Lytechinus pictus: one gene and its partner. The protein of the gene in region 1 purifies or fractionates together with the protein of each later gene. This does not show direct contact. Links are inferred from orthologs where the notes say so. Each region holds a gene or a part of one and is shown in the gene's direction. Other genes may lie near its edges.

Evidence for each region.
Region 2: the proteins of succinate--CoA ligase [GDP-forming] subunit beta, mitochondrial-like (region 1) and iron-sulfur cluster co-chaperone protein HscB-like purify together in Homo sapiens (affinity purification with mass spectrometry; 3 studies listed by BioGRID and IntAct, with this or other methods). This does not show direct contact. The link is inferred for Lytechinus pictus from reciprocal best matches to the Homo sapiens genes SUCLG2 and HSCB.

Annotation. Positions count from the first base shown.
Region 1 is NC_087247.1:36,257,720-36,268,497, forward strand, and holds the start of succinate--CoA ligase [GDP-forming] subunit beta, mitochondrial-like, read left to right. Parts: upstream 1-6,294; 5' UTR 6,295-6,356; coding exon 6,357-6,422; intron 6,423-10,778. UniProt on the Homo sapiens protein: GTP-specific succinyl-CoA synthetase functions in the citric acid cycle (TCA), coupling the hydrolysis of succinyl-CoA to the synthesis of GTP and thus represents the only step of substrate-level phosphorylation in the TCA.
Region 2 is NC_087246.1:19,726,827-19,736,888, forward strand, and holds the start of iron-sulfur cluster co-chaperone protein HscB-like, read left to right. Parts: upstream 1-5,960; 5' UTR 5,961-5,971; coding exon 5,972-6,360; intron 6,361-7,454; coding exon 7,455-7,551; intron 7,552-8,276; coding exon 8,277-8,366; intron 8,367-8,997; coding exon 8,998-9,139; intron 9,140-9,496; coding exon 9,497-9,544; intron 9,545-10,062.

The DNA of each region.
Region 1 (10,778 bases):
GGGTGACATCAGAATATTTTGGTCCATGAGGGTGCATGGGTCGGGGTGTTGCGTTTCCCAACTTGTGGTCTGATTGGCCGAAACTTTTCCATGGCGTATTAGATGCTGGGGCGGTCCTCTCATCCGAGCTCCCCTCGGCCATTTAGTATAAAGGAATGGAGGGGAAAACAAATAAAATGGAGAATGTTATTTTTTTTAAAGAGAACGGGAATAAAGCGGGGAATAAAGAGAGAAAGAAAGGAATGAGAGGAAGAAAATCAATAAATGCAAATTAAGGAAAAAGCGTGGCAGAGAAGAAATAACAGTGCTATTTTTTTCTTGCAAAATTAGAATTCTGGGAGCTTTAACTTGAGCCCTTGCCTCCTCCAACGCTTAAATAAAAAGAAAATGATCTTAAAGGTCAAGTCCACCACAGGAAAAGGCGCGATAGCTCAGTCGGTAGAGCGGGGGACTCGTATTCCGGTGACCCGGGTTCGATTCCCACTTGGTGCGCTAGTGCCCTTTGGTAAGGCATTAATCCTCAGTACCAGGTCCTTCGGAGGGGACCTTAAGCCGTCGGTCCTCTGGTTGCTTGCTTACAAGCATTCATGCTTTCTTAGCAATCAGGTAAAAAAAAATTCCACCAATCAATCACAGTTGATTTGAATAAATAGAGAAAAATCAAACTAGCATAACGCTGAAAATTTCATCAAAATCGGATGTAAAATAAGAAAGTTATGACATTTTAAATTTTCGCTTATTTTTCAAAAAACAGTGATATGCCCAACTCAGTGACATGCAAATGAGACAGTCGATGATGTCCCTCACTCACTATTTCTTTTGTTTTTTTATTGTTTGAATTATACAATATTTCATTTTTTACAAATTTGACAATATGGACCAACTTGACTGAACCATATTGTATTAAACAATGCTAATTCCATATGTTCAAGGACAGGGACCTGGGAACGATTTTTTCAGTGGGGGTGCTGAAATCTCTCCTCAAAGGTGAGGGGGGGACAGACACAATTGAGTTTTCCATAATTACACACACACACACACCCTCACACACACACACACACACATATATATATATATATAAATATACATATGACAGTCACTTCTTAGCTTTCTTCTTATAAAAGAACATAAATATATAATTAGATAATTTGAGCGCGAAGCGCGAGCTATTTTTTGTGGAAATTTCATGTATTTTGTCCTGAAAATTGAACATTTTGAGCAATGTTTGTGGTCCAAGATGCGTATGTAACAAATAATTATTGTGAGCGCGATCAGCGCGAGCAGATATTTTTTATATACGCTCTGCATGGCCTGATCGAAAGGGACGTGTTATAAGGACTGTTTTGCAGTTACCCATGAAGATGATACATATATCAACAATCAAATAATGCGAGCGCGAAGCGCGAGCTTAAAATTTGACATTCCGACCTAAATACTGGACATTCTAAGCACGTTTTGTAAATATGAACAAGATAAGTATATAACTATACAATTGATGCGAGCGCGAAGCGCGAGCGGAAACAAAATTGAGATTTCAGACCAGAAAAACGAGAGATTCTAAGCACTTTTCTAATCATAATGAGGATAGCTATAAAACTATACAATTGATGCGAGCGCGAAGCGCGAGCGGAAATAAAAATGAGATTTCAAACCTAAAAACGAGACATCTAATGCACTTTTCTAATCATGAACAGGATAGGTATATAACTATACAATTGATGCGAGCGCAAAGCGCGCGCGGAAACAAAATTGAGATTTCAGACCTGAAAACGGGACATTCTATTCATGTTTTGTAAATCTAGAAAATGATGGGTAATTGGATATATTCTTAAATTAATAATGTGAGCGCGAAGCGCGAGCAGAAATTTTTTTGATATTCTGATCTGAAACTCCACACTGAATGTAAAATGGTTTGAACAGATAAAGAAAACTCAGACGAACATAAGAATAAAGATTTGATCAAAATCAGACAAGGAATATCACAGTTATTGCATTTTAAAGATTAGCATTATTCCAGTGAAACAGTTTTAGGCATGTCTTCATTAATATTCAATGAGCAAACTGGTGATGTCATATCCCCACTTGTTCTTTTGTATTTTATTATATAAAATTAGGTTTATTCAATATTTTTCTTTCAAGAACTAAAACAGTTGAATTGACAACTGATTTAGTCCATAAGATATTATTTGCTGCAACTTATTTCATTATAAGGGAGACATATCATTCACTCTGGTATGAAAAAAATGAAACAATTTTGATTTCACAAGAAACAGGATATTGGGAATGTCACAGCATCAGCCCACCTATGAAATATTTATGACGACATGCATATCACCATTTTCATAAAATATTGCTAAACTTTAGAATTAAATAATTTAACTAATGGTTATCAGATTTTGATAAAATTTATTCATTTTTGATAAAATGTATTTGATATAAATATTTTCAGCCCGGAGTACCCCCCCCCCCCAATCAAGCTGCGTATCTGAATAAACATGCCTGCGCGTGTTTAGAGTTCGACCTAGTATCTGGGCATTCTAAATACACTTTTTTTATTATAAAAATCAATAATGCGAGCGCGAAGCGCGAGCAGAAAATATTAGATATTCCGATCTGAAAGAGGGTGAATTTAAACACTATTTCAAGTAATGTGTCGGAAAATTCTGAAGTGGGGGGGGGGGGGGGTTCTACAAAACGTCGTTCATTTTCATTACATTTCTGTCATTTATCATACCTACCACTAGATTTCCAGGAGGTGCGCTGTCTATGGAAAATAACACACGCAGCACCCTAAAATTTTGGAGTTGCTTCACCCCCAGCACCCCCGCTTCCCAGCCCCCAGGGCCATGGGGCAGGGCGAAAAAGACTGAAATTTGATTTATATTATCTGACTTTTAATTTTTGTATACAATACACGGGCGGTCGGGCGCGGGCTCACTTGATTCGAGTCCAACCACCCCCATGTCCTTCCCTGATATCGAAGAGTGTGTATGGTTATCACGTATTGCGCGCGACTCCGTCTGTTTTGGAGTGCTGCCCCGCTGGAGCTTGATTGAGTCGCGTTATAGGAGGGATGTTATTGGAATATGTGAAAGACTATGTAAATGATTTGCGATTGTCGGAAGTGATAATTATGTACATTATAACATATTTTAAAAAATACAGGGGGGAACCCGATTTCGTGGGGGTGCTGCCTATGGAAAATAATACACGCAGCACCCCCATACACCCCCGCTTCCCAGGTCCCTGTTCAGGGAGGAATTATTGTTTTTTTTTTCACTTGACAATGAAGAGAAAATTATAATATTTCATATTTCATATAATAAAATACAAAAGAAATAGTGAGTGGATGATGTCATCAGTCTCCTCATTTGCATACCAACCGGGATGTGCATATAACTATTTTGTGAATTTAAGCGAAACTTTAAAATGTCATAACTTTCTTATTTTACATCCGATTTTGATGAAATTTTCAGTGTTATGTTTGTTGGCATTTTCTCTTTTTATTCAAATCAACTTTTTGTTTGGATGGACCTGTCCTTTAAGGGATTGGAATTATAAGACATCTCGGCTGATCAGGGAGACGCTGTATATATAGCGGTCCGCTATTACAGGCTGCACAAAACGAGGGGAGACGGGGGGGGGGGGGGGAGGGGGGAACAGAAAAAAAAAGGAAATTGAAGAAGAGGAAGAAAATCTGAAGAGGAAGCAAATTAGCATATATAGCAATCTTGCCAATGCATTCGCATTCATGAGGATAACATGGTGAAGCAGTGATTATTTTCGATCGAGCTATAGTAAGGTTCATTCAGTTACAAATCATGTTCATGATTATTATAACACCCTGCATTCCATATTTTTGTAAAACTGATTATACTTTTAAACATGCTTGGACGTTTGTGTAAACTCACAAACTCCAGATAGTAAATTGGTCGAAAGTAAGTTCAATGCTCTTTTGTCCATTGACACAACTCCTTTTGTTTAGAGCAAAATTAATGACCACACACCCATCACCTGTTTGCACAGATTGATGTGGTGGCCTTATCCTTGCATTATGTCCCGCATTGTGTTTATAATTCCTCCTAAGATACCATAATGAGAATATACTTTATCCTCCATCCAACCTCCTTCCCAGATAATTGCTCCCTGACTTCAGGTGCAAATACCCTTTCATTTTTGTTATGCTCCATCCTTCTTTCCTGATTAGTTTATACATTGTTTAACTCCTCCCCCCTAATGGTGCAAAACTAAGAGATGTACCCCCAAAATAATTAAAAGAGGACTTCTCTTCTCCGTCTCTTGACGAGAGGACACTGCATGCGTGCTTGGTCTCCCTCGCCATCCCTCTTTAGGGGTTACCATATGGCCTTTGTTGGGGGAGTACCTAATATTATAACAGCCTTTTTATAACCAGCTATATTTCCTATGGTATATACATCTTATGATTGGTATTTATCATCTTTGGAATATAAAATACTAATGAACTGTAATCATGGTAATCATTGTGTGGCAGACTATTGATTTGTCTCATCATTCTTGTAACACTGAACAATCACCACGCTACTATAATATTTCAAGTGTTACAATTACAAAACAACAAGTCAACCCCAATAAAAAGTTGATTTAAATAAATAGAGAAAAATCCAACAAGCTTAACACTGAAAGTTTCATCAAAATCGGAGGTAAAATAAGAAAGTTATGAAATTTTTAAGTTTCGCGTAATTTCGTCTGTCAAAACGAGGGGATTGATGACGTCACCTATAGCACTCACTATTTCCTTATTTTATTGTGAAATATGAAATGTTCTTTAATGTTATCCAGCATGGTAATGTGAGCATATTTTCCCCAGAATATGTGGAATTATATTGTTTTGGAACCTTTCTTCAGTTTCTTGGCAACTTGACATGTTTGAGCCATGAATAAAGGAAGCTGGTTTGTGAAGAATTGTACTGAAACGTGGGCAACATTATGGTTCAATCAAGTTGGCCTTATTGTCAAATTTGTACACAAAAAAATGAATTATAGTATAATTCAAACAAAAACAACAGTGAGTGAGGGGCATCATCATATCTCTCATTTGCACGTCACTAAGTTGTGCATATAACTATTATGTGAAAAATGAGCAAAACTTTAAAATGTCATATAACTTTTTTCACATCCGGTTTTGATGAACTTTTCAACATTATGGTTGTTAGATTTTGTTCTATTGATTCAAATCAACATTAATATTTTTCTTGGGTGGACTTGTCCTATAAATAGTGCAGTTCATAGGTCTGAATGTTGGTTAAAAGAAACAGCTCGCTCTTCGCGTTGGTAATTTTTGTCTATAGTGGGATAAGTACTCTGTTCAAGGATATAAATAGTCACTTTAGGTCGGCCTATTCATTTTGGTGGCATATGCATTGTATTCACAATATCAAAAAGCGCTTAACAATAAATGTTCAGTTTTCAGGTCAATCCTATATATAAATTTAATGTCAGCTATACGCTTCACGCCTGTATTATTGACTTTGTATTCCTTCAGAGTGCCTTGTTATGGATTTTTTCTTACATGTCGAGGGCCCTTCTCGAAATAAGCTTCGGGGCATGGATGTAGATCGCGGGGGGGGGGATATATCCCCCAACTTATGTCACGGGTGAGTTGTCCTATGTTATCATCCCCCATTAGTTGAACATCATCATTTTAGGATGAATCATTTGACAAAAAGTATGCCTATGATGATAAAGAGGGAGCACAAAAATGATTATGATGATTGTAAAAAGTTCAGAGCTATCGTGAATTATTCCTCAGCTTACTTCCATTATCATTTTTTTTCACAGACCATGGCCGTTGGCAAATTAAATCAATCAATCAATCAATCAATCAATCAAACCAATCAAGCAAGCAAGCAAGCAATAAACCAAAACCAATCGTATTTTTTTTTGTCAATAAAAAAATATATATAACACGCATGACAGAAAGTATCTCCTAAATTCGAACACACATCAATATCTAAGTTGTGGATAGTGGCCAGTCAACATAATTATGGATCATTATATTTATATCTTATTATCTTCTTCTCTTTTTTATTTTTATCCGACCCGGTTATTATATTTTTTTCATTGTTGTTTTTATCTGCCTATCAACATGGGGGACATGTCCCTGTGTCCTCTAGCCTGGCTTCGTATACGAGAGTTACCACCCCCACCCCCTAAAAAAAACTATAAAAAAACACCTCCTCCTAGCTAGCTCAAGGCCCCGGCTCAAGAAAGTGCAGTGAAAAAGACAGCTCGAGCAATAGCAATAGCGCCATCATTTTAAAATTAATTTGTGTTCGTGGTTTTTCCATTTAGATCCACCCTTTTCACCCTTCGTAATGGCCCATGTTGCAAGGTTAATATCAGGCTGTCGCCAGTCTTTTCAGACAGTCCTCCAGCGAAATGTAAGTTTACTCTATTAACCAAAATATTTTTCTGATATCTATAAAAAAAAAGTTAGTTATATATTGTTAGTATAATGAATTATATGTATTGTAAAGTTAGATCTAGCTGGTTCTCCAAAATTGTTTTATTACAGTCCCATGCCTAGGGAACTATGTAGCCTAGGCCTTTCTTAACTCTTTACTTTATGCGCTGGGCCCACGTACGTGCATAGCGCCAACTTAATGTGTTCCGCCATCTTGCTTGTTGGTTGCCGATAAAATGCGCATTTTCAGATTTTTTAACGCTCAGTTATTATCCATGACTGAAACATTGACCAATCAAAAACTAAGATTCTACAAGAAATATGAATATTCATATACGAAAGTATAAACATAGATAATTCAGTTTTATGTGAATATTGGCTTAACTGCAGAATACCCCGCACATTTCATTACCTCAACGTTGGCGAGCCAACGACCTACGATGTGAAGAATCAGAATCAATCTCGACGTGATCGATCCTGAACGGGCTGAAGATTCGTTGTCTTGTCAGTTTTTACGATACGACCCGTACCGGTACTGTACTTCCGAGCCATACGAATACACGCGCGCATGCTTGTACTCTCGCGATCGCGCGCATACCGTTGGCGAGCCAACGACCTACGATGTTCCTACTATGTGCATAGGGTTAGGGTTAGGGTTAGGGTTAGGGTTAGGGTTAGTAGCATGCCAAATTCACAACGTTGGCATCGTTGGCTCGTTGGTAGCATGCCAAAGTCACAACGTTGGCATCGTTGGCTCGTTGGTAGCATGCCAAAGTCACAACGTGGCATCGTTGGCTCGTTGGCAGCAGGCCAAACTCACATCGTTGGCATCGTTGGCTCGTTGGTAGCATGCCAAACTCACATCGTTGGCATCGTTGGCTCGATGGCAGCATGCCAAACTTACAACGTTGGCATCGTTGGTTCGTTGGCAGCAGGCCAAACTCACATCGTTGGCATCGTCGGCTCGTTGGTAGCATGTCAAACTCACAACGTTGGCATCGTTGGCTCGTTGGTAGCATGCCAAACTCACAACGTTGGCATCGTTGGCTCGTTGGTAGCATGCCAATCTTACAACATTGGCATCGTTGGCTCGTTGGCAGCATGCCAAACTCACAACGTTGGCATCGTTGGCTCGTTGGTAGCATGCCAATCTTACAACATTGGCATCGTTGGCTCGTTGGTAGCATGCCAAACTCACAACGTGCTGCCAACGTTGTTGGCAGCAAGCCAATGCAACTCACAACGTTGGCATCGTTGGCTCGTTGGCAGCATGCCAAACTCACAACGTTGGCTCGTTGACAGCATGCCAAACTCACATCGTTGGCATCGTTGGCTCGTTGGTAGCAAGCCAACGCAAGTCAAAACGTTGGCATCGTTGGCTCGTTGGTAGCATGCCAATCTCACAACGTTGGCATCGTTGGCTCGTTGGCGGCATGCCCTATGCAAAAATCGCGTAATCAATCGTTGGCTTGACGTAAACAAGTTCGAATTTTAGTCACAACTCGGCTTTGTTCCAACATCCTTTCATCACATCGTAGGTCGTTGGTCGATTCAAACATCCATGCTCTCGTCGTGCGGGGTATTCTGCAGTTGTTCCTGAAATTTAAACCCAATACTTCAAAATATGGTTAGTTTTATGTCTCTAAAATGACCCTTAAAACCAGAATTTTATTAGTAAAAAATGAAGGTTTTCCCAAGTTGCCATGGTAACGCGGTCTGAGATATAAAAGCTTAGCAAACACTTCATTTCAGTGATCGAGGATGTATTTGTTTACGGTATACGTCTACATAAATTATAACATTTTTTTCCAGACCATGGATGAACTTTCAAAAAGAGACATTTTAGGCAAGTTTTTACGATTTCCGGCAATTTTCTGACACAGGCACTTTGAAGAGGTAATTTTTACAGAATTAGAAGAAGACATCATGGATTTTCCTAATTATCACGACGGATATGCAACTTACTTGTAAACAAATCAAACAAAGTCTATGATACATTTTCGATAATGCAAAAAGAGACATTCAAGTCTCTGATTGAGAGCCGCAGATTGAACATTCGCACGGCGCAATGGTAGCGTTTTCGCCGAATTCGTCGGGGCGAAAACTCCAAGAGAGCCGTACCACTCACCAGTCCCGAACGCTGCGCTGTATGTTTGATGATTTATCTGGTGCCATTTCGTGCTTATAAATTTGTTTTTTCTACAATGCCACTATCTCATTAAAATTGTTTGTCATGATAACATTGGAAATATTATCGTTTAATGGCCCAAAGGATCGACTGTAATAAAAGATACTTTGAAATATTGTCAGAGAGTGATTAGTTAGGTGATGTTTATGGTCAGAATTCAGTCATGGCTTCGGGTGAACTTACGCGAACGCGGTCACTTGCTCACGGGGCGAGTCGGCCTGGCCCTTTGGTGGAAGGCCGTTAGGCAACGTGCAGTGCAGCTAGAGCAGAGTTGGGGAGTTATAGGTATAAAAATACTTTGAAATAAGTAATCTGCAAATATTTTTGTCTTATCCCTTTGGATTACTTAGATAAGAAATTCAAATTCTCAAAGTTTAAATCAAATTTTAGACAGTGACAACAAAGAGTGGTGCTGTATGGGGGGGGGGGGGTGGGGTCTTGCATGCCCCCAATTCACGAACAAGAAAAAAAAGGAAAAGGTAAGAGAATCTTGCGAAATTGTTCAATTGGATTTTTGTAACCAAAAGTCAAAATTATGCTTATGTCGCTTGCTTGCAACTATATATTTTATAAATTTTGCCTGATACGCCATATCGTAGTACCCTCAATTATTTTCACTTGTTACGCCACTGACATGACTGATATAACATCTACTAGTTTATGATAACATTATTTGGTTGCGGGATCAAAGCATCAGCTATATAGCTAAACATTTATACTTTATGCCTGTTCAACTTCCAATACAGGTTTAGGCCTGTATTTATGAGATGTTAAGATCTATGGGTGCCTTTATTATTTTCATTTTCAATTAAAACAATTATTAATTATGTATTAATTTAGTATTAACCTCGATGATACATTTTATTGTATTAAATCGTACAATTTCTGTTGTATTAAGCCCCTTATTAAGCCCTTTTAAAAACATGCTCAGTAGCAGACCCCCCCATATATAAAGACAATAGAAGTGTATATAGAATTAATTGAACCCCCCCCCCTTATTGAGGACAAAATAAAAAAAAAATACTCAAAATAATCGACCCCCCCCCCCCTTTGACGAGGCAGCTGTCGGTGGCCTGATGTCTTCATTGACTTCTTTTTGCTTGTAAAAATAATATTAAAGAAATAGGGGCTACTCTAAGTGTCCCCTGTGAAAATTGATTTGGATCTGCAAGTGCATGAGGCTGCGCCCCCTCCAACGTCATAGCTACCCCATATCTTTAGGTTCTAGCTCTCATATTTTTCAGCTCCCTGGTTTTTTGGAAGAAAAAAAAACGAGGCGAAAGAAAAGAGTGAAATAAATGAAATACGATTAATCAAAATTTGAGTTGTTTGAAAGAATTATACTTATCAGAGAAACTAAATTAAATTCTACAACCATGAAGAATAACAGCAATCTTGATAAATTCTGTTTTTTTTTTCAAAATCAGAACCAATCAACCTTTTTCTGATTATTCTGTCACTTTCCATATTTTGGAGAAAAAAATAAAAGTGTTCATCGACGCCCTGTACTGCATGATGAAACTGTATCCCCACTCGGCCCTCGTAACCCCCCCCCCCCCCTCTCTCCCTCTCCCCCTCCCCCACCACAATGCCCCTTGCTCATTTCTCTTATCTCACCTTGACCTTAATTAATTAATCTTAACTATTTGGCGGTACAGTCAAACGTGACTGGTCGCCATCATAGTTTCATCCCCAACAAACAAGGAACAAACAATAACAATTCTGTTTTTCGACCCAACATCATTCCTTTCAATACGCGTAAGGCTATACGTGGGCATGCACAAACAACGTGGGTTAACAAAAACTGACCCGCGTTTGGACTAAAATTGTGATTAAAATAAAAATGTTATAAATATGAAAAAAATATGTGTATAATGAAGGATATCTGATAAACGGAAAAACATCAATCGCTAATTCATAAAAATGCTGGAAAAGATTTGACAGAGGTTTTTAACAACGGTAATCAAGGGGAATTAGTGTATGGGTGAATGGCGTTCGAGCTTTAGCCGAGCGTTAGCCGGAGAGGGCGCGGGCCAAATCTGCCTGAATCTGGCAATATGGCGGCGTCCATTAAGCTGACGTTAGCCAGCGGCGACTGCACGTACGTGGGCCATGAACCCCTGTGACCCTCCTGGCTTCAGAAGT
Region 2 (10,062 bases), on another chromosome or scaffold:
CCCTAATGATGATAATGTTAATGATAATAGAATTCACGATAATAGTGATGATAATGAGGGCAATGATGATGGTAATAATGACAACGATGATTAAAATAATAATGGCAACTAGATTAACAATAAAAAATATTGATGGTAAATATAACAATGATATTATTGGGAAAAAATGATGATAACGAATATACTAATAATAACAGTAACTAGTATTATGAATTATATAGTGTTAACATTTGTTAATAGCACCAATCCAATATGTTTTATCCTAGATAATACTTAATGACAAGTATTTTTATTACTTTGACACCAAGTACGACTGAACATATTATTTCATAATTATGAAGGAATTAAATAGACAATGAGCAAAAAATCCTTGAGTCAAAACGAAAATTATTTGCGACCATTGCATAAAATATAAAAAATGATGACAACACAAAATTCAACCCTCATGGTGAATAAAAAACATTGTGCATATACTTACAAGAAGAGGGAGAAAATTAAATACGAATGGATATGACTCTGAACAGAGAGCGGTCAAATTTTAAAACTTTGAATCATTATTGTCATCCTTAATGATTCTAAAACTCCTTTCGTGCAGGCAGGTTAAGAGCCGACATTGTAGAACATTCTTAGCCAAATTGCCTCAGTTTGATAATGACCCATCATTCGAGTTTTCTGTTGACCATTCCGCTGGTCGGTAATGTTATGCTGCAGAAAGATAGAAGCTCTTCGATGATTAGCTGCTCATACACGTACAGCCCAATCACACGGTGAATGGCGTTACACCGTTGCTGATTGGATAATTCTTGATAGTGCAGGAAATGTGGTTGGTGGTGTTTTGATTGCAATAGCCCGAAACACTACGACTAGACCCTGTGACCACTGATCTCTCTCCACTAACATCAGTGCCTGTGACGCATTGAAAACGAAGGTAAAGTAAAAGGACATTCCCCGTTTTTAAAGACAATCCAGATATAGATGATTGTAAACACTAATTTGGTTGGCGTAAACTTGTCGTAGACCTATTCTTCTTTCATTTACAGTAATTAAATCACTTTCTCTTTATTCTTACTTCTCTCTTTTATGACTTTATCTCAATTCATTATTTAGAAAACATCATTTTTGAAAAATTACAAAAATCACTTTTTTATTTCCATTCTGATCATATCAACCAGGTTTTTTTTTTTAATGATCTTTAAGGCGCTTAGATTTCTAAAAGTTTTGTCAAGGTAACGAAATCGCCTATATAGTCCCATACGCCCGGTACACACTACACGATCCAAAACGACTCTTTTTTTATTTACAAGTCGCATTTTCGCATTAATATGAAATTTCATGAAGAAAAACTATATTATATTTCGCAATTAGGTGCAATCAAAGGAATGATTAAATCGGAATTCTACTTGGTTGCAAACATTGTGGTCGGAGTAAAGTCTAGTTCAGCTTCAACTCGCATCCGATGATGACGTCAAGTTAATACGACTTGCAATTGAACTTTAATTCTACACAGAGGCTCGAAATATAGGCTTGATTTTCGATTCAATTATTCATCCCAATATTTTGGATTTGATCGTTTTAATAGGTGGAATTTTCATTTAAAATGCTTTTACAATTTATTTGAAATTAGGTCGCAATTAATGAATGGTACTATGTACTGGGCTCTACATTTGAGCACTGACATAGTGATTTGTGATTGGGGGCTACTGCTCAATATTTTCCTAAGATCATTTTCGGGTATACTCAAATATTATAATTTGCATTTACAGGTCCAATCCCCATATAAATCGTTGGATGCCTTAATACTTTTAAAGGAACCTTTTGAGGGAAATATATACAAGATGGCCTTCCTAAATACATAAGGTGATAATACACGCACTGGCGGATCCAGGGGGGGGCAATTAAGAATTAAAATGTAAAAATGCCATTAAAACAGAGGTGTGCCCCCTCTTTTGAAATTGAAGACCTTTTTTTGCTTGTAAATTTTTTTTTCGGGTGCTAAATATTCTCAAAATTTTCCTCCGAAAAATTTGCCCCCCCCCCTTGAAAAATCCTGGATCCGCCCCTGGGTTCACGTAATCGGTATTTGAACTTGATGAAGGTACTAATTATAAACAAATAGAAATATCTAACTTGAACATAATTATCATCGTTTTTGTATCTGAATCATTGTCACATCCTAATCGTGTTTACTCAACCGTACTAGGATCGGTCACGTAGTCTTACGTTGCAATTAATTAAGGGAACAAATTAATGACTCGTTTGTTTCTAAAATTAATCACGTCTTCTTTTTCTTTGGAAATATCAGTGCACTTGTAACTTTACTGACCAACCAAACCGGAAGGAATAGATTTAGTCACATCCGACAAGTTGAATATCGTCCGGGAGAAGACACGCAAACTGTATAGCCTATACCACTATACCAGGGACGGGACGGTACCCACTAGCGTACCTACGGGGGGGGGGGCAGAGGGGGCAGACTGCCCCCCTGACGAGTCAAAACCCATGCAAGGGACGTATCCCTGCCCCCCCCCCCCTGACGAGTCAAAACTGATCCCTGGCCCGCTCCTTTGAACTCGAAGACCCTTTTTTTTTTTTTTTTTTTTGCTTGTCAATTTTTTTGCTGGTACGAAATCCCTTTATTTGTGGTTGAAGACCTTTTTTTTTTTGCTTGTCAAATTTTTTGGCGGACGAATTTGCCCCCCCCCCTGTGGAAAATCCTAGGTACGCCACTGACGGTACCATATAGGGGCAGGCGTTCAACCCCCCCCCCCCCCCGATTAAAAAAAGGAATTAAAATAAATAACAGAAGAGAAAATATGTGACCAACTTATATGTTGAACATAATCATTTAACAGTCGGACAAAAAAAAAACCTTAACCAATAGGGATTAGACAAGTTTTTTGGGCTTAACGCTCAAACTTTTGGTCGAAACTGTGACCAACTAAAATTATTCATCTATGGTCAAAATTGCCCAATGAATGTGTTATTTATAACTAAAAGTTTGCCGAACAAAACAAGAGACACGAAACTTTTCTGCAGCATAAAGTAGACATAATTATATATAACAAAAAAATCCATAAATTTTAATCCGAAAAAGAAATAAAGTTACATTTATGTCAACCTTGTTCCCCATATCAAAATACACAGGCGTTGCCAATGCACATAACAAGTCAACAGTCTCAGTCACAAAGTTCTAATGTAAATTCATCAAGGATTGGTTGGAGACACATACACTAGTACATGAGTAGGCTACCCTATAATATTTATCAATTACACTTTATGCATGGTTTCATTAAAGTAAATAAATGAATGAATGAATGATTATAGATGAATGAAATGAGTATTGTTTTCAGTCAATAATGATTGAAGAAATGAATAACAAGTACAGTTAAGGGATAGACCTTCATGACCGTACACCAAGTTTTTTAGTGGGGGGGGGGGGCATGACGCATATTTAAAAAAAAACTCGAAAGCGAGGGAGTGAAGTCTTGTCATGGAGGCGCTTGTCATTTTTTTTTATAATACCTAAGGTTTGCGAGCACACTTTGACAAATTTTGTGAAAATTTTCAGTAAAAGTGTAACACTTAATTGTCCACCCCCATCACCGCCCCCTGCGCGCTGGGTTCGGCCATCATAAATATGTACGAAAGATTGTGTAAATGGTATAGTAGGCCTACTAAATGAATTAAGAGATCAATTAATGATCTATTATTGTTCTAAATCAATTCAATCAAAATCACTGATTAACAGACATGACATTGTTATCGATGAGGAAATAGTTGGAGAGCATTTAAAATAATGAACGACATGAAGTGCGTAGAATCAAAAAGATATTGTTGAAGTAAAATATTCATTCACATGAATCATCTGATTCTGATCACTTTAGAACATTATATTTACTTTAGAAAATTATTTTATCTCCAAAAATTCCATAGATTTCTTTAACAGATACTATTCAATACGAAGCAGTGGGCCCTATTCTACACAAGTTTCCCGAGATTTCTTAAACAAATACTATTATGAAGCAGTATACATCATGAATTGGTGCTATCATGGGAAGACGTCAATTTTTTATTTTTCAAACACGAAAATTTTCAGTTATAAATTTTACTTTACTTTCGAGTTCCTTTTGTAAGGATAGGCTTTGCATTAGATATTTTTTATTCATTTCAATTTTGATAGTTCATGGAGAATGAATGGTGTATTTTTTCATAGAAGCAAACCACGCGGGGTACTTGTGTCACACAAATCACTTTTTCATGAAAACAAAATACTAAAGGTCATTGACTTTTATATATATATAACATTGGTATATTCATGTATCATTTATCTAAAGACGAATTACCAGAAAATTTTTCACAAATGTTAAAAAAAATCAATCATATCACACATATCCTACGCGTCAGAGTATACCATCTTACTCTAACTCGAACAATTTTTACACAAAAACACAATAATATTCACAAGACCAAAATACATACCGTACTCTTCCGCCAGATATAACAGGATGCACATTTATTTTAAAAACAACTTATTATTTCTTGAACCTGCTTTTTCTTCATTGTCTTGATCTCCATGATTAGTAAGTCATATACCTCGTATTTTTTTCTGTTGTCTTTTGTTTTGTATTTGTTTTGTCTTTTTTGGGCTCTTTCTCTGGTTACAACTGTATTTCTCTTGCTGTATACCAGCTGAGCAATATGCACATTGTGATGTGACAGTAATAATTATATCAGATATGATTTTACTAATTTATGTACATACATGTAGGGCCTATATACGGGTGTACGTACTTGCCATGTCATGGAAAGATATATCTATTCACCGTATGTTGATAATTTGTAATGCCTTGACCACTTCAATTTCATATCTTTAAATATTTTTCTTTCATTTGTTCTGTATTTAATTGAAAATTCCAATCTGCATATTTAAGGTCATGAAATAATTATCCGTCTTCCACTATTAATTACAACTTATCTCACCGGGGCCTGCAATTTTTTACAAGCCTTGCTTTCATGTATGTCCGATCATATTTCTTTGACTTACGGGCCTAAGCTTCTATATACCTTAACTGGACTGATTGCATCATTATACTATGCTATTGTATGTCTTCTCAGTTGTTTATAATTTAATAGTTTTGCATTATTGTTGCTACTTTTTATGTGAATCAGATGTAAAGGAGAAATATGAAAATGAAATTAATAAACGAAATGAAAAGAATGAAAAGAAATAGTCAAATATTTAATTGCACGAGGAGTCTTATTATAAATGATCTCAGTGGTGGACAATAATGCGATCTTTTTTTAAAGAAAAAAAAGTATAATTTAATATGGAAATACGTGTGTAAATCTTTTTCACGTGTGGAATTAGCAGCTATACGCGTTATCGAGTGGAGATCGTGCAGCTCACATTTTAATGACACTTTTAGTGATCTCTCCAAATCATATTATTTTCATCCCGGAGCTAGACCTATCATGCCTATACTCCTTTAAGGGTATGATTTCAGATTTAGAGACAACATCGGCCCTGCACCTTTTGAGTGCCCCCGAGGGTTAAACAAGAGGTGATCTAGAACTATAATAGCATATAGACCTATATGGATGATCAGAAAAAGGATGGATGATGGTGATCAGAACCGGATCAGAATTCAAACCACTATATAGGGCTTTGAAACTTATCTCATATCCAAATAAAGAGGAATATGAATTATTTGCAAAGTAGGAATTTTTCATCCAAAGATGTTTGCCACTATTTTCTTTCTGGGCCGATATAGCATTATTAAGTAAAAAACAGGAGCTTCACCACTCTCAAAAAATAACTTGAGTGGCCAGGGGGCGAGGGGTCTCTCGTCCTCCCCCCCCCCCCCCCCCCCCCTTGCGACGTCGACCCTGGATATACGGTACCGGATCGCGATTCAGAGCTAGCTAGCTATATATATAGCTCTGTTGTATGCGCACATATGTATGGCTATGCATGGTCAGTAACATGGCAGCTTCATGGATAAACTCTTGTCGTCTGGCTCTGTCACGTGCAAATAGTATTATGAGATTAAAGAGAGGAATATCTTCAAGAAACTTCATCTCCAGCTCACCATGCACATACTCTAGGAGACAAAACATGAAATCAGTCTTGTCGAATTGGTCATGCACTAAAAAATCGTATGATGGACAACGAAGCAGGATGATCATCGTCACAGAGCGTTTGTATTGCTCTTCTGCGAAACGCTGTTGGAACTGCAACGACGAACTCTCCCGGTCTGAGACGTCCAGTGGAGGACCTCGCGTCGCTGCTCTGTTCTGTGCCTCGTGCAGTATGATCCAGCCGCTGGAGGACGGATTGAACCACTTTCAGATCATGGGAATGTAATGCTTCTTTTGCTTCAGAAAACATTTTAATAAGATGTTCAGTTTAAATAAGAGAATGATCAGGTGCTAAATTGATGGGAAGAGATTGATATTCAGATATCGGGCATATTATCATGATTATTTGAGATGAAGAAGGCTTGAACTGGGATCGAAATATTAATGCCACAAATGGCACAGGAGATGCCCCGGAGGGGGGGGGGGGGGTGCTCGACCAAAAAATTGGTAGGTATGTGCCACAGCGAGACAAAAAACGGGCTTTGGAGCCTCGCATGCGATGTTTTGAAATCGGCAGCAAATAATTATACGTGTGAGGACCTTCAATTCATGTTGGCTCTAAATCACGAATTTTGAGACTGATAGAAGCATGGCAAAGCCAAAGAAGTGAAACTTTGTGTATAGTAAGAATATTAGTTTTAATTGTTTTTAAAGATCGTGATGTTGCATGAATTTTATATTTCCCCCCATAAAATCCCACCTTTGTCACTCGGAATATCAGATAGAGTTCACGGTATCGATGTTCGGGCAGGTGGAGTGTAGTGTAGCGGTAGTCAGGTAGTGAAGTGGAGTGGTGCCTGCACGAACATCGCCCTATACGGGCATAAGTGCATGCAGCTAACCCGCTGGCATGGGATATGGGCGCCAGGTGCGCTTGCGCAGAGGCGATGGTCGGACAGCTCTGTGCGGCTGCTTTTCACCAAAATTGCAACTCATTGTCGCAGATCAATGTGGCCGAACAGCATAACGAAAAATATGCAAAGCTTTGGAACGAATTTCTTCTTTTTTCTCGATAAGAAGAAAGTGATATGCTTTGGAGCGGCTTTCTTTGTTCCTTTCCTCAATGTAAAAATGGGGGTCCTCTCTGTGGCACGTACCCGCCACGCATTATATACTGAGTGAGTGCCTTTCTTTTTTTGCTTCCCCGTTAGTCTGGATTTAGAGAGCTTCACACTTTATCCCAAAGAGGAAAGTCTACAGGAAGAAGAATCCTTTAAGTTTTCTTCTCGTTATATGTAAAATTGTTTTTTTTTTTTAAGTTTGAAATTTTGAATGAATGTTAATTGTTGCACTGAATTCATTTGGTACTTGTTTAGGGAGGAGAAGTTTGATGTTGAAGTTCAAGACCTGACCAACTGCTTTAGAAACCTTCAGAGGTTGCTTCACCCAGACAAATTCAGCAATAAATCAGAGGTAAAAAAGAAAAGCCATTCAGTGTTCTCTATAAAACCATTGTATTTGGGTATTGTTTTTGTGGTAATTTTTATATGGGGGGGGGGGGGGGCTCCAAGAGCAAAAGTGAATTTATGTAGGCCTATACAATAATATAGCAATGCACCTTGCTCACTGAAAAAATGAAAGTCACTTGAAGTTAAGTGCTCTGATGTTAAATTCATGTAAAGGTGGTGATTTCAAATACATTCAAATGGGATTGTGAGATGCATTATTTTGGTTGTCAGGGCAAAGTCGGTTGAGTTCAGGATTATATGTCATCATCAGACTTGGGCAAAATGGTCTCTTTGCCATGGAATATCCCATTGCATCTGGATACTGATTGGGTATTGTTTCAATGGAAGTTGACAGCGGATGGTAAAGATGCCATGACAGTAGTAACTTAAATTTGACAGGACCCAGCACTTTGTAGAAAGTGCATGCACACTGAATACATTCCAGCAATCTGTGCCCAAAATTATTTCAAATCATGCATAGATAGAGTGCATAATAACTGTTCAGGTAATATTATTTCTTACTACACATAATTAATGATTTGTGTAGAATCTCCTTCAAATACACAAACAATTTCATGTTCACTTTTCCAAGAACTTACCGTGTTGAGACTCCTTAAAACTGTAATTCAATTTGCAGAGACTTTGGAGAAGCAGGGTCAAGAACTTATCCTTTCATTTATTCTCACACAGACAGAACAGAACTACTCCGCTGCCCAGTCATCGGCTGTGAATCGAGCTTACAAGGTGCTTCTCAAACCACTTTCTAGAGGCCTCTACTTGGTAATTAACTAAATTAAGTGTTTTCTTTTTCTATGATACAAAGGGTGTTAATTGCAATATCATGAAGTTGTGTTTGTTTTACTGATAGAAAATGAACATGTTGGTCAAACGTTCATGATAAAGTCTTTGGGTGGTATTTATAAGCTAATCCGGGTTAAGTCCATGATAAGCCTAGGTCCGCTCTTCTTTGAAATGCTAGGTTTCATATTTATTCAATATTTCTTAAGATTAATAGCCTTGTAAACATTTACTGGAGTTCATTTAATATTTATAATTTCCTTGTTTAATTGCATAATCATTTTAACGCACAAGAGTGAAAAGGTTTTGAACAGGTTTGGCTCTCCACTCTTTCAGCAACACAGAGAGCAACATGCTTGTTCTATACCTGCTCATTGATATGTCAGTCATGCTCAAATTCAGAGAACAAGTTGGCTTCAATTCTTTTTAATCACTTGCCCCATGTCTTTGGAATAAGTTCCAATTTGATGCAACATTACCTTGATCTATTGAAAATGTTTTGAAACAGTCATATATGATAAATCTTAAGTCACTTAACATTGTAAGCAGCAGTTTGTGTCCTTTGGAAAAGGTGCTAGATAAATCCAGTTTATTATGTTTCTTTGATACACAGCTTGAGCTCAGAGGGTTTTCAATAGAAGAAGGAGAGAGTAATATAGAACCGTTATTCCTCATGGAGGTGATGGAAATCAATGAAGAGCTAGCCGATACTGATGATCTTGAAACTGTCAAACGAATAGGAAAAGAAAATACAGGTAAGTTTAATCATAAGGAGTGGGACTCTGTAGAAAAGAGCACTTTGTAAATATTTGGTTGATTTCGTTCTGCTTGAAATGAGTGTGTATAATGGTTATTTAGTGCATGTTAAAGTGTTTTAAAAAGGTGAAATTTAGACTGCACTAAAATGAGCAATGCACAAAGGCACAGCAAAGTTTGCTTGTCAATGTATTAATGTGAGAATTGTTTTATTTTAGCACCAACTTTTATTAGCAATCGTCCATCTGATTGGAGGAATTGGTGCCAACATACCCAGACAAGTTGTATAAAAGTATGATTTCCAATTCAGGAATCACTTTTCACGTACATACTTATATTTGCCTCTTCTTTTTCAGTGAGTTTGAACGACCATCTGGATAAACTCAGAGTGGCTTTTGATGAAGGTGAGATTAATAAATGTAATGCATATGAAAAGATTTCGTTATATTGATATTGTTTCATTTGATCATGATTTCATTAATTCATTCTTTTCATGGAATATTCTATATCACCCATAAGTGGACTTTAGACAAGCAGAAATGGGTATACTATGCTTCCATAATACATCCGACGATGATGGTGTCAGCATCTTAACCGAAGTAAAAAAATTTGAAATTTCATCATAATTTAAAAATTTTAAGGGCCTATTTCATGGAACTTGGACATATAATCAGGTATCACTGATCATTTGGCAGGAGTTTCAGGTCACATGATTAAGGTAAATATCAGGGCTACCCAAGGTTAAGAATGAATACTTATTTTCAAGATTATTATGAATATATGAACTTAAATATAATGGTTATAAACAAGCTTTTTATTAACCGGGCGCCAGGCGCAATTTTGCTCCCGGTTCAAAGGGTTTTGCGCCTGGCTCCTTCGAAAACTAGTATGCCCGGGCGCCAGAAAAAAATCACAAATGGGA